Oryzias latipes: one gene and its partners. The protein of the gene in region 3 purifies or fractionates together with the protein of the main gene of each other region. This does not show direct contact. Links are inferred from orthologs where the notes say so. Each region holds a gene or a part of one and is shown on either strand. Other genes may lie near its edges.

Evidence for each region.
Region 1: the proteins of wdr12 (region 3) and bop1 purify together in Homo sapiens (affinity purification with western blotting; 6 studies listed by BioGRID and IntAct, with this or other methods). This does not show direct contact. The link is inferred for Oryzias latipes from reciprocal best matches to the Homo sapiens genes WDR12 and BOP1.
Region 2: the proteins of wdr12 (region 3) and pes1 purify together in Homo sapiens (co-immunoprecipitation; 7 studies listed by BioGRID and IntAct, counting the BioPlex papers as one, with this or other methods). This does not show direct contact. The link is inferred for Oryzias latipes from reciprocal best matches to the Homo sapiens genes WDR12 and PES1.

Annotation. Positions count from the first base shown.
Region 1 is NC_019869.2:4,823,143-4,827,475, forward strand, and holds the start of bop1 (ribosome biogenesis protein BOP1), read right to left. Parts: upstream 2,833-4,333; 5' UTR 2,745-2,832; coding exon 2,661-2,744; intron 2,268-2,660; coding exon 2,067-2,267; intron 1,993-2,066; coding exon 1,897-1,992; intron 1,526-1,896; coding exon 1,371-1,525; intron 1,295-1,370; coding exon 1,177-1,294; intron 1-1,176. UniProt on the Homo sapiens protein: Component of the PeBoW complex, which is required for maturation of 28S and 5.8S ribosomal RNAs and formation of the 60S ribosome.
Region 2 is NC_019867.2:13,302,673-13,307,012, reverse strand, and holds the start of pes1 (pescadillo homolog), read right to left. Parts: upstream 2,832-4,340; 5' UTR 2,659-2,831; coding exon 2,635-2,658; intron 2,438-2,634; coding exon 2,358-2,437; intron 1,455-2,357; coding exon 1,301-1,454; intron 823-1,300; coding exon 713-822; intron 584-712; coding exon 412-583; intron 331-411; coding exon 241-330; intron 1-240. Other genes in the region: p2rx2 (P2X purinoceptor 2), read left to right, coding at 4,259-4,340. UniProt on the Homo sapiens protein: Component of the PeBoW complex, which is required for maturation of 28S and 5.8S ribosomal RNAs and formation of the 60S ribosome.
Region 3 is NC_019860.2:15,361,476-15,365,195, forward strand, and holds the end of wdr12 (ribosome biogenesis protein WDR12), read right to left. Parts: coding exon 3,692-3,720; intron 3,626-3,691; coding exon 3,580-3,625; intron 3,500-3,579; coding exon 3,414-3,499; intron 3,329-3,413; coding exon 3,188-3,328; intron 2,165-3,187; coding exon 2,059-2,164; intron 1,981-2,058; coding exon 1,848-1,980; intron 947-1,847; coding exon 874-946; intron 791-873; coding exon 713-790; 3' UTR 542-712; downstream 1-541.

The DNA of each region.
Region 1 (4,333 bases), on a different chromosome or scaffold from region 3:
GGTTAAGTTTTTCTTAAAGTTAAGTTTAGAGTATTTCTTTAAATATAAACTATATATTTTTCAAGCTCACCGTTTTTCAAATGTTCAATATTTATTTCACGTTTACAGCATACGTTGAGGAGTTTAAAACTATTTCCGAATTTATAATTTGGATTTTTCGTTCACTTTAAGCTGCTCTTGATTTGACATTTGGAAGAAAAAAAACATTTTTTTCTTTTAGTAAAGACTAAATGTTGCCTCTATGATAATGATTACTGTTTATATATGCATACAGAGGTATGAATATATATAATAGTATATACATATATATTTTCACGTACATAAATATATAAACGGTTAAAATAGATGATGTCAATCTTGTCTGAACAGAAGACAAAACGTATTTCTCCGTCAGTACATATGGAACAGGTACAATGGTTAACCAGCTTTATGTCACAATAACCTAAAACTTCAGCTGATAGGTCATTTTAGACACTATCTTCCCTCTGGTTCTTCAAAGGCTGTGGGACATGTGGTCAAATTTGAGTTATTGCTTGTTTACTTTGTAGTTTTTTGCATATTTTTTGTCTTTTTAATTTGTTATGTTGTGACATATCTTAGATAGTTTCGTTTTTTTCGTTCACTCTTTTGACGCCACTTTGTCGCTACCGTGTTCCCTGCAGTCACTTTTTCCACCCCAATATAGTATTTTCTCCCACTGTTTTTAATCAGAGGCACTCTGGAATTTCGTTTAATTTCAAAATGTGTGCAGCTTGCGACTAAAAACAGACGTTTGTCAAAAAGATGTCAGAAATTTCATATGAATCTCTGGAAACTAAGCTTAACTGTTAGTCTGTCTGCTTTGTAAATTTTTCCAGATTGCACATCGATGACCAAAATACAATATCTCCTATCTGCAAATTGTTAGATTTTGAGTTTTTAGCATTAAATGCTGAGAACAAGGACAAATTCACATTTTAAGTGAATCTGCAAAAAAGTCTTATGACCCGAAAGTCACAAGACAAAAACCTCACATCACCATCGGCTGGAATATTTGAAACACATTTTTCTTGTTTCCTGAAAAAAAAAGATAGGTTTCAGGTAGGAGCATTTGTACTTAGGCTCATAAATACAGATTCCTCTGAAAATACCACAAAAAAAGCCAAAAATAAGGATGCAAAGCCTCCCTGAGCATACCTGGTACTCATTGAAGTTGATGTCTCCAAACTGCCCTCTCTGCAGTCGGTTGACCAGATCCACCTGCTCGTCTGACAGCACAATGTCTCTTCCCGTCTGCTTGTCGTGAACTGTCCTCCTGCACGCACAACCAAAACCGTTAGCGTTTCCTGTTTGAAACTGTAGAGGACGCGGAAATGCGCTGGCTAGCTGACCAGTAGTCAGGATTTTCCATTTTATCCAAGAATTCGTCCAGCTCATCCTTGTTCCTGATTGGCTTGAAAATCTTCTTTCCATCTAGATCGTAGCCAATGTGAGGGAAGTCTTTGTACCATTCCATGGGAATGTTGCCCACTGTGTTCCTGATGTCCTGCAGAAGAATCAGAACCAGCACATGAGAACCTTTTAGAATCCAACAGAAGAGTTCAAGCAAGGAAACAGGACAGAGGTATTTAAAGAAAAAAGGTGGTTTGCAAAACAAATAAGGTAAAACACAAACATGCATATAGAATTATACAATAATAGACTGTGTAAAGTAAGGTAGGTCCAGATCAGAGGGCAAGTGACAAGAAAAAAACAGACAAACTTTGTTCTAAAATAACCAATAAAATAAAAAAGGGTGATCAAACATCTACATGCAAGAAGCTGAGGACGTACAGGAAATTACTAGAAAAATAAAAAGCGAATAAAAGTGACAATCCGAGGAGATCACTAAAGAATCCCAGATGCCGCTACTCCTACCTCCTCATCCGAGGTGTCATGCTCATACTCATCTCCTTTCTTCTCTTGTTTTCCTTCAGTTGCTCCTTTCTTGTTTTTGTTGTTCTTCACTTTTGTCTGCAAATGCGACAGATTTTCAGAAGAACCATAATAATATCCGGTCGCAGTAAGTCCACAGCAGCAAACCTCACCTGCTGCCTCTGTTTATCCGGATCATCATTTGATCCATCAGCTTCCTCCACATCATCGGAACTTTTCTCTTCAACGTCTGACTCTTCATCCTCAGAGTCGCTCCCGGAATCCTCCAGTCCAGAAAATTGACTGTCCTCACTGTCTGACAGGTCATCGTCGTCTTCATCTTTCTCAGTAGCTTTGTTGTTGATATCAAAAAGCTGAAGACAAACACACACAATCACTGTTTATGGTTCAATTCCCCATAGATGTTTGGCTAATATTAGCATCCTGATTCATTGTATGTAAAGAAATTCCAAATTCTATGATGCTCTCACTGAACTCTATTCAGAAAACATACATTTAAAAATAAATCATGCGGTTTTTATATTGTATTCCTATAAGTCTGTTTATAAACAAACTATATGATATTTTCACCGCTTAACAGTTCGGTTGGGAAAATTTGTTATCAGCAATGTCAACGTTTTTAAAAGCTCCAGCCTGTTTTGATTTTGCTTATTTATTAGCATGCTAGCCGCTAACAAGCAAGTCCTAGCTAATTCACAGAGTAATTTCCCGCTTTTTCCCTCTAACAGTTAGATTGCGTTTCTCACTTCATCTTGCTCTTCTTCCTCCACTTCCTTCGTCTTCCTCTTCGTTTTCTCCCTGACTTTCTTCATTTCTGATCTCTGTTCCATGCTCTGCACGTTTTCCAGCTCCTGCTTCGCGGACCCACGTGGAAAACCCGCGGGGTCAGAGGTTATGCTGGCCGAGAAAAACGAGAAGACACGAAGGCAGCCTCCGCCCCCTATCGGTCAGATGTCTTCACTGCACGTCCGGCTGAACAATAATATTGTTCGTTGCAACCAATGAGTTATATCACTAGAGGAGACACGCCCGCTTTAGAAGCCTGGCCGTCGGTGGCGGAGCGCGACGCCATCTTGGTGAGGTCGACGACGCCCACATGACATTGATTTCTATTGATTTTAGTGGTGTCTAAGTAGCTTTTATAAACTGTATATATTTTTAGATTTAAATATATTTATACATATATATATAAATATATTATATTTTATGTATATAATATATATATATATATATATATATATATATATATATATATATATATATATATATATATATATAGATACATCATTTGTTGATGTTAAAGAAGAGAAACAGTCAGCCTTAAAAGCTCAAACTTGAATGAAAATGCATTGTTGCAGGACTTCTTACAAATAAAAAAATCAATAGTAAGTCAATACAAACAATAAATAACAATAAATAAATAACAAGTCAATAAAGAATAATAAAAATAATTATATTATTATTATTATTACTATTATTATTATTATTAATAATAATAATAATAATAATAATAATAATAATAATAATAATAATAATAATAATAATAATAATAATAATAATAATATTCAAAATAATATAGACAATAGGACAATAGATTTACCCTAAAAAAACAGTCTGGCCTCTTATCAAAATCTGTTTCCACAAATGTTTTGAACAGTCAGACTGTATTACTAGTTGGTACCACAGTGATCCATCTGGGTTAACTCTTTTTATAGCTAAGTCCCACTTTTTCCTTCAGTCTGAATCCATTGGAATCCTGCAAGAAAAGTTCAGTCACTGAGTCAGAAATGTTTAAATCTATATTACTATAATAGCCTAGTATGCTGTATACAGGTTTAGCAAAATAAAATCTACATTTATATTGACAGCAAAATAAATGTACATCATGCAGCATGTTGATAACAGCCCTGCAGCATCATGCATGTCAACATACGTTCTATTAATGAAGCCCCTGCAGCCTTAAAATAAAAAAAAATAAAATACTTACCTGTGAAATGATACACCTACCTCCTTCATGGACTCATTTATCTGATTTTGGCAGTTGAAATCCGCACAATGAACTGGCATTATGCAAAAAATGTGTTCACATGCATGCACTGCAGCAGTGACTTGACCTCACCAAGATGGCGGTGCTCTCCTCCCATGAGGAACCACGTGATGTCTCCTCTAGTGATATAACTCAATGGTTGCAACTGCCTAGGAGTGAGAAAACACAGTTTCCATCCATCCATCCATCCATCCATCCATCCATCCATCCATCCATCCATCCATCCATCCATCCATCCATCCATCCATCCATCCATCCATCCATAGTATGGCAGCAATTAAATTTAGCCTCAGTAATTATTTATTAACTTTTTTTGTTTATACTTTAAAAAACTCAAAGTTTTAAATCATAACCACCAAATAAATTGTTTGA
Region 2 (4,340 bases), on a different chromosome or scaffold from region 3:
TCTCGGCGTCTGCACCTCAACTGGAAATTAATCACCTTTAATTAAAATGTTTTGGTTCCTAAATGACTTAGATGGTATTTAAAAGTAAATATAAAAAGATGATGTCAGACTTTGGAAACTATGTAAACAGCTTTACTAATTAACTGGGGACTTTCTGTGTTTAGTTAGAACATTGTTGATTTTGCTGTCACTGCTTATTGGTATATTCCTTATGAACCTCATTTCATCAATTTGACTTACATCATGGGAGAACTGATAGGGCACCAGCCATGTGATGAGCTGTCCCATCACCTCAGCCTGATAGTACATTCCCTTGATGGAGACGAAAACCTAACGGGAACAGAGTGGGTTGTATGTCAGAAAACACAGAACTGTAATTTTTTTCTGTGAAAGAGTTCAGTAAAGCTGCACCTTTCTGAGAGAGCGTGATGCAATCACATAGTTCATCCACTCCACAGTGAGGCGTCTGCAGAGCTGGATTGTTTGGACGTGACATTTTCCCGTTCTGGCAAATGTGGAGAAGAGGAAGCACATGCAAAGGGCGTCGTCGATATCACGGAGGGCATCGATGAAGGAGGGGTATCTACAACAGAAAGCAATTGACTTAGAGGTAGGTTTATCTGTCTTACATTTAAAAACTAGAAAAACACAGAACAATGGGTTCATTTAACAGAAAAATCTACTTATGCCCCACTTTTTAAGTCAGTCTCACCTCTCTTTAATGATGTGGTCCAATTTATAGGTTGGCTTGTTTTCTTTCAGTCTTTCAACTGCAGACCACTCCGTTTTTCCATAAGCCTTTCTCAGTTTCCGTACAAATATCTATTAAAACAAAGAACAAATTTTTAGGCTAACTTACACTTCGACTGTATAGTATCCAAAAAGATTATTACCAAAATAAATAAAGTTGTTTGATAATATATTAAAACCTTATATTGTTTACATTTTCCAGTCCTTAAATCCAAATCCATGTGTGAGCATGCACATTAAGTATGCACACTTAAGTCTATACTGCAGAGAAGGAATGGATCTCTTAAATCCTCACTTTTCATTGCAGGTAATGCAAAAAATGCAAAAACAAAAAGTTTTTTACATATTAAAGATCAACTACAAGTTATGCATTTCAAACTTAGTCACTTTTTGGTGATCATTTCTATTTTAACAAATTTTCTGCAATGTATTTTTGTATCAACAAGCTCTTTAATTCACACTTTGAAGAGAAAGGGAATCGACACTGTGCTCTCTCTATGCATGTAAGTAATAAAAAAATAATAAAAAACATTTACACATTTTGAAATACCTTGTATTCTCTGAACTTGGCAACTATGGGCTCATGCAGCAGAAAACGAATATCTTTAAGCAGATAAAAGGTCCTGGGGGCAGTGGAGCCCTTGTTGACCTTCTTCTTGTGCTTCGGCTCATGAGGATAGATGCCTTTAAGAATGCAGAGTCGTCTAAAACAAAAAGTAAAGCAAGTCATCAGAGATACAAAAAAATGACATGAGTGTGTATCGCAGTCTGACTAAATCTGATGGAAAATCATGTTGGCCACACACAATACGAGACGCACATTGCTGCACTGCCCGCACATATTTTAATTGCATTAAAGGCTAAAGGTTGTTGTTGGTCGCATGTTTTTTGTATAGCCCAATAATACAATAATAGTTGTCTTATTGGGCTAACATTAAATCAGTCATTAAATACAGTAGGTCATTGCTAAACTTAACTAAACAGACTAAGCTAAACTGGGCACCCCTGCCCTTAGACCCTACTTCTCGGTAAGCAAAACGTTATTAAAAATAGATAAATAAATAACAGATTCCGGGGGAAACAGTCTCCGCTGTGTCCACATGATGAAGAAGGGATCCTCTCCCAGGACAGACAGGTGATGTACCAGGACTGTTAAGGTAGAATTAACTTATCCAACTCTACAACTACATGTTTGAATAATGTAGCAAGTAATGTCAAGTATTTATATTTACTGAATGTCAAACTGTTAAATGTTTAAGGACAGTAAATAAATGTTTGCCAACATTTATGATTTGCAACGTTTTCATGTTCTTTTTTTTTTACACTGTAGTGTATACTTTAAGAAACTGCTCCAAATAGGTTAACCTTTATTATAACTATGCTTAACCACAAAGTTATGTGCAGACACAAAGGGGCTGGTACATTAATAACAATCTCTGAAAATTAAACCATAAAATCACACACTCCAGTTCAGTTGCAGTTCAAAAATAATTTAACAAATACCTCGTGTTAAAAAAAACATCCAAATCAGTGGTAAAAAAAAAAAAAAAAAAAAAGGTATTATTTACAAAAAAAAGAAAAAGAAAAAAACTTGAGCTGTGTGGTACCTGAAGTCTGGTAGGCTCAACTGTAGCTTCTTCCGAGCTCTATTTCGTGTAATGTAGTTGGTGGCAGAGCCCCTCTCAAACTGCAAAGAAAACGGTTTTAAAAATTTCCAGTAACAATTTCCGTAAACTGCATTAAATGTAATTTTGACTGTTCACATTCACGTGTAAACGTTTGCCCAACATAATGAACCACTTAGAACAAACTTAAGCTAGTTTAGCTAGCTACGTACGTAGCATGGAAACTGTTACTGAGTTCAAACAAAACGCCAGCATTTACCTTTTTCTTTTGAGTGCCGCCCATACTTAAGAAATTAGTTTATCTGAAATAAAGCCAAACAAACCGTTTTTAACTAAATATGTTGTCAGGTAGTTAAAATCTGAACACGACCACCATGTTTTGCTGTAAATGCACGTGTTGTTTGACATGCGCAAGAGAATCAGATTGGGTTTAGCGGACACGAGGACCCACAGTCGACCGCTCATCTGCCTGCTCGCAATAGTCTTATTAAGCTGCGGTAGATGAGCGAGCTACTAAAAAAAGCAATAACAAAAAAATAACATTAATAACAATGTTTGAATGCACTGTTTAGTTAAATGGTGGACTGCTGCATAAAACAATATTATCCTACAGGTTGTTATATATATCTATATCTATATATATATATAGATATAGATATAGATACAGACAGACAGACAGACAGACAGACAGACAGACAGACAGACAGACAGACATGTTGGCCCTTTTTCTTTCTTGATCCCCAACATTGTCACAAGCAAAGCATCCCACACCATCACACCTCCTCCTCCATGCTTTACAGTGGGAGCAGGCATGTAGAACCAAAAATCTCAAATTTGGACTCATCAGACCAAAGCACACATTTCCACTGGTCTAATGTCCGTTCCTTGTGTTCTTAAGCCTAAACAAGTTTCTTCTGCTTGTTGCCTTTCTTTAGCAGTGGTTTCCTAGCAGATATTCTACCATGAAGACCTGATTCACAAAGTCTCCTCTTAACAGTTGTTGTAGAGATGTGTCTGCTGCTAGAACTCTGTGTGCCATTGACCTGCTCTCTAATCTGAGCTGCTGTTAACCTGCCATTTCTGAGGCTGGTGACTCGGATGAACTCATCCTCTACAGCAGAGGTGACTCATGGTCTTCCTTTCCTGGGGCGCTCCACATGTAAGCCAGTTTCTTTGTAGCACTTGATGGTTTTTCTGACTGCACTTGGGGACACTTTCAAAGTTTTCCCAATTTTTCGGACTGACTGACCTTCATTTCTTAAAGTAATGATGGCCACTCATTTTTCTGTACTTAGCTGCTTTTTTCTAGCACTAAAACAAATTCAGTCTATTCAGTGGGACGAACAGCTGTGTATCCACCTGACTTCTGCACAACACAACTGATGGTCCCAACCCCATTTATAAGGCAAGAAATCACACTTTTTAAACCTGACAGGGCACACCTGTGAAGTGAAAAACATTTCAGGTAAACTACCTTTTGACGCTCATCAAGAGAATACCAAGAGTGTGCAAAGTAGTTATCAAATCAAAAGGTGGCTACTATGAAGAACCTAGAATATGACATATTTTCAGTTGTTTTACACTTTCTTGTTATGTATATAATTCCACATATGTTAATTCACAGTTTTGATGCCTTCAGTGTGAATCTACAATTTTCATAGTCATGAAAATAAAGAAAACTCTTTGAATGAGAAAGTGTGTCCAAACATTTGGTCTGTACTGTAAATCTAAGCCCCACCCCTTGTCTATTGGACCCCTCACATATGTCAGGGATGCTTCAGCAAAATGCAGACAAGAGCAGAGCAGCCTCAGACAGGGAGAAGAAGAAATGTTGTAACAAGATAAAGTTCTGTTGATAAAAAGACTCAAGCACTGATTTGGATATGAGTACAGCATTTCATAAAGTCATCATGGGGCTATATGACTTTTTAAAGGAGTGCTTCAGTGGTTTTTGGGACTACGAAA
Region 3 (3,720 bases):
CCAGCCCAACACCATGCAAAACATTTAGTATTTGGTAGAGAACATCAAGGTTGGGAAATTAGCCACTGGCGCCCTGTGCTCTTCACAGATATAAGCAGGTTCACACTCAACACATGTGACAGACGTGACAGAGTCTGGAGTCGCCGTGGAGAACGTTCCGCTGCCAGCAGCATCAACCAACATGACCAGTTTGGCAGTGGGTCGGTAACGGTTTGGGGTGGCTTTTCAATGCTAGACCTCATGTGCCTGGAGTGTGTCAGCAGTTTCTGCTAGACAAAAGTATTGATGAAATGGACCCCAGACCTGAATCCAACTGAGCACACGTGTGTCTTGGTCAATCGATCAACGCTGGGTTTCACCACAAGCTATTTGACCGGAAATTTTTAGGTGTGCATCATCACTGTGAATTATCACTTTTTAATCCACACCCAGCAGCCAATCCGAATCGAGTATTCACCCGGACCATGGTATAAATATATATTTATATATTTTTTAAATCCATAAGAACAAGTTTGCCTGAATGACACACCAGAGACAACACTTGAGCAAAAATTAATTTATACTCTATTGTATACAGGAGAAAAACAAACAAAAATATGTCAGAGAACTGATAAGACTAAAAAAATAACAATGGCAGAGAGAGAAAAAAAATTAGGTAAACTATAATTTTTTTGCAGTACTTCCATGTTGGCACTGTTGGGATGGGAGGTTTCTACGCTCCGGCGTCTGTTCGACACGGAGAGTATTTGTAACTGTAAAGCTTGTTGTCCGCCCCGCCGCTTAACATTAGCTAAAAAACAAAAAGCAGAGTCAAGATAAGTCAACTCTGAAGTCTTGTCATGGGAGTCTGGAGTACATAAGAATTTGTCTCACCCCACTTTCCGTCCAATCCACACAGAACACTTTGTCCTCATGGGCCGCCAGGTCATACAAGGGAGCCTTACAGCTAAAGAGAGACAACGTGAGTGATAGGGCTGGGTATCACCAATAGTTTCCAGCATAGATTCAATTCAACAGAGCCTGGATCAAGTTTCTGTATTGTCCACTTGATTGGATCAATTTGGAATTTACACGGTTTACACATTTGGAGACATTTTTATAAAAAACACAAGTATTCTATTGGTTTTGAAGATAGTCATATTAATCTAATAAAGCTAACATTATGTAAAATGTTTTAATGAGATAATAAACCAATGAGCTTGTTAACACCATGCAGTGTTTCATAGTTTCTCAAACAGAGAAGCTCCAACAAAAATGTGGAGATCACTAACACTGTAAAGGCTCTAAACCGGCTCATATTACAAAGATAAATGTGCTGCCTTTCCTGCAGGGCGTTTCCGTTTGGCCATTAGGTGGAGCTCGCACTTTAGCATTACACTTTATTTGTCCCTCATCTGGTATAAAAATTGCTACAAAGAACTTTAATATGAGGTGAAGTGAAATTCTGGATCCAACAAAAATATATATAAGCCAGTTTTATGATAGTAAATCCTGAAAAACATGAAAACAGATGGAACGATGATAATTATTTAACCTTTGTTGTCCATTACAGAATATCTGTATCACAGTCATCAATAAATCCTCTGGACTCTGAATTTTTGACAAACACAAGCACATTTTTTTTTCTTTTTTCCATCCGAAGCATTCACGTAACTATGGTAACAAGCTTGGTCAAACAGGCAGTAGGTGACATGTTCTTTCTTCACATGATTCACAGTCAATTCAATGAGCTTCTGCACAAATTTTCACTAAACGCACCAAATGAGGGTAATTTTGCATCTGTAAAATAAATAAATAAAATATGCCTTAACTAGTGCCAAAATATGCGAAAAGCAATTTTCACAGACCTTCTGATGTCCCAAAGTTTGACCAGGTTGTCAAGGGAACCGGAGACAAGCTGGTGCTCGTGTGTCGGAGCCCATTTGACAGCAGTGACCCAGCCGGTGTGGGACGTTAGAGACAGCAACACCAAAGCTCCATCTGACAAACAAAAGTGACAACAGAAATAGGTTAATACATCATTTTTGGGGTGTATTTTTGATGTCAGCACAGCGGCACCTTTGGTCCGTGGATCCCAGAGGCGGATGTGTCTGTCTGTGCTCCCAGAGGCGAGCCGTCGACACAGAGGAGAGTAGGAGATGCAGTTGAACACTTTACTGCCCGTCTGAGGAGACAAAACATGGCAGATCCTGAAGAAATACCAGCTGGGAGGTGCTTGTTTTGTTCCTCTGAAGATCAGGAGGACAGATTATTCTCTAAAACCGGTCCATCGCACCAAATCTACAGCTAGAATGCTGCTTTTCAGCAACCACAGTGTTCGGATGATCAAATACTGACTAAAGCTATATACTATACGACCAGCATACCTTAAAATGAGATCACAGATTAGTTTTTAAATCCTGATGCTAGGCTGACAAAAGAAATCCCTTTAGACTTAAGAATAAATAAGAGATGCCATCTAGAGTCAGTCCTTATTAATACTTTTATTTTGAAAAGCCAAATTCGAAACTATAAAATACAGCAAATCTATTTGACCATAAGAAACTTTGACATTTATGAAGAGAAGGTTTGACTGCAGCAGTGCAAATGTGGCTAAAAAGGAGATTTTTCTGTCTTGTCTGTGTAAGTGTTTGGTTACGGATTAGTATTAGTGCTGTAAATATTTTCCCTTTAAATATGGATTTTTTAAAATGTTCCTCTTTACAGACACACACACTGATGAAAACTGGTTTTTATCACTCATTCCTGTGGCCTTTTTCTCACCATGGAGGACATATTTACAGAAAATTAAGCTTAAAATTACATTTCTGTACGTCTTTGTTTACCACCTGCACACAACTCAGATGTATTTTTTTTTTTACACGAACTGCTGCCGCCCTGCAGAAACGATGTCGTTAAACATAATCATAATTAAAAGCCCACTTTTGAAAATAGAATCAAAAGCTGATTAGAGTGGGATGAAATTATTTTGCAAGTTTTGAGAGTATTTGTTCTTCTTATTGAAACTTTTGTTTGCTTGATGTAGAGAAAAGCAGATTTTTCCTTCAATTATTAAGATGCATCTTCAAACATTTATCGTTTACAATAAAAAAATAAAGATTTTAAAAAAATGACCAGTTACTTTTTTTTAAGTCAAGCTAAATTAAGGAAAAGTTAAAAAAAAAAACAGGAAAAGAATTTGTCTCACCAGCGTGGTCTTCATCGCTCCAGCCTCCACGTCCCACACTCGTATGGTGTGATCCCACGATGCACTGCAGACCTCCTCCGCATCACTCCACAAGACGGAGGACACCGCTTCGTTGTGTCCGGATAACGTCATGAGGGGCGTCTGTCAAGATAGTATCAAAATGACGCTCCAGTGGACGTAACAAATCTAATTCGTTTTCCCTCTCCTCTTCCAGCTGGGAGCTCACCCTGGTCAGACCGAGCTGCTGGGTCTTCTGTTTCTTCCTTGGTCTGTCTGCGGCCTCCTCTACCTCATCTGCCTCATCTGTGGGCACTGGCAACAGGGAGGAAAACTTACAGATGACTTAAGGCTTTTTGGTGTCAACATTCTTGATTTTTTGATTCTTTTCTTACCTGCAGACCAGATTTTTAGCATTTTATCCCAGGAGCCACTGCAGAACTAAAGGAGACAACCAAAAATCAGGGACTTGTTATTTCTTTATTTTCTGGCTTTAATGGGTTTTACCTTTGAGCCAGTGGGGTCTGTGGAAACGG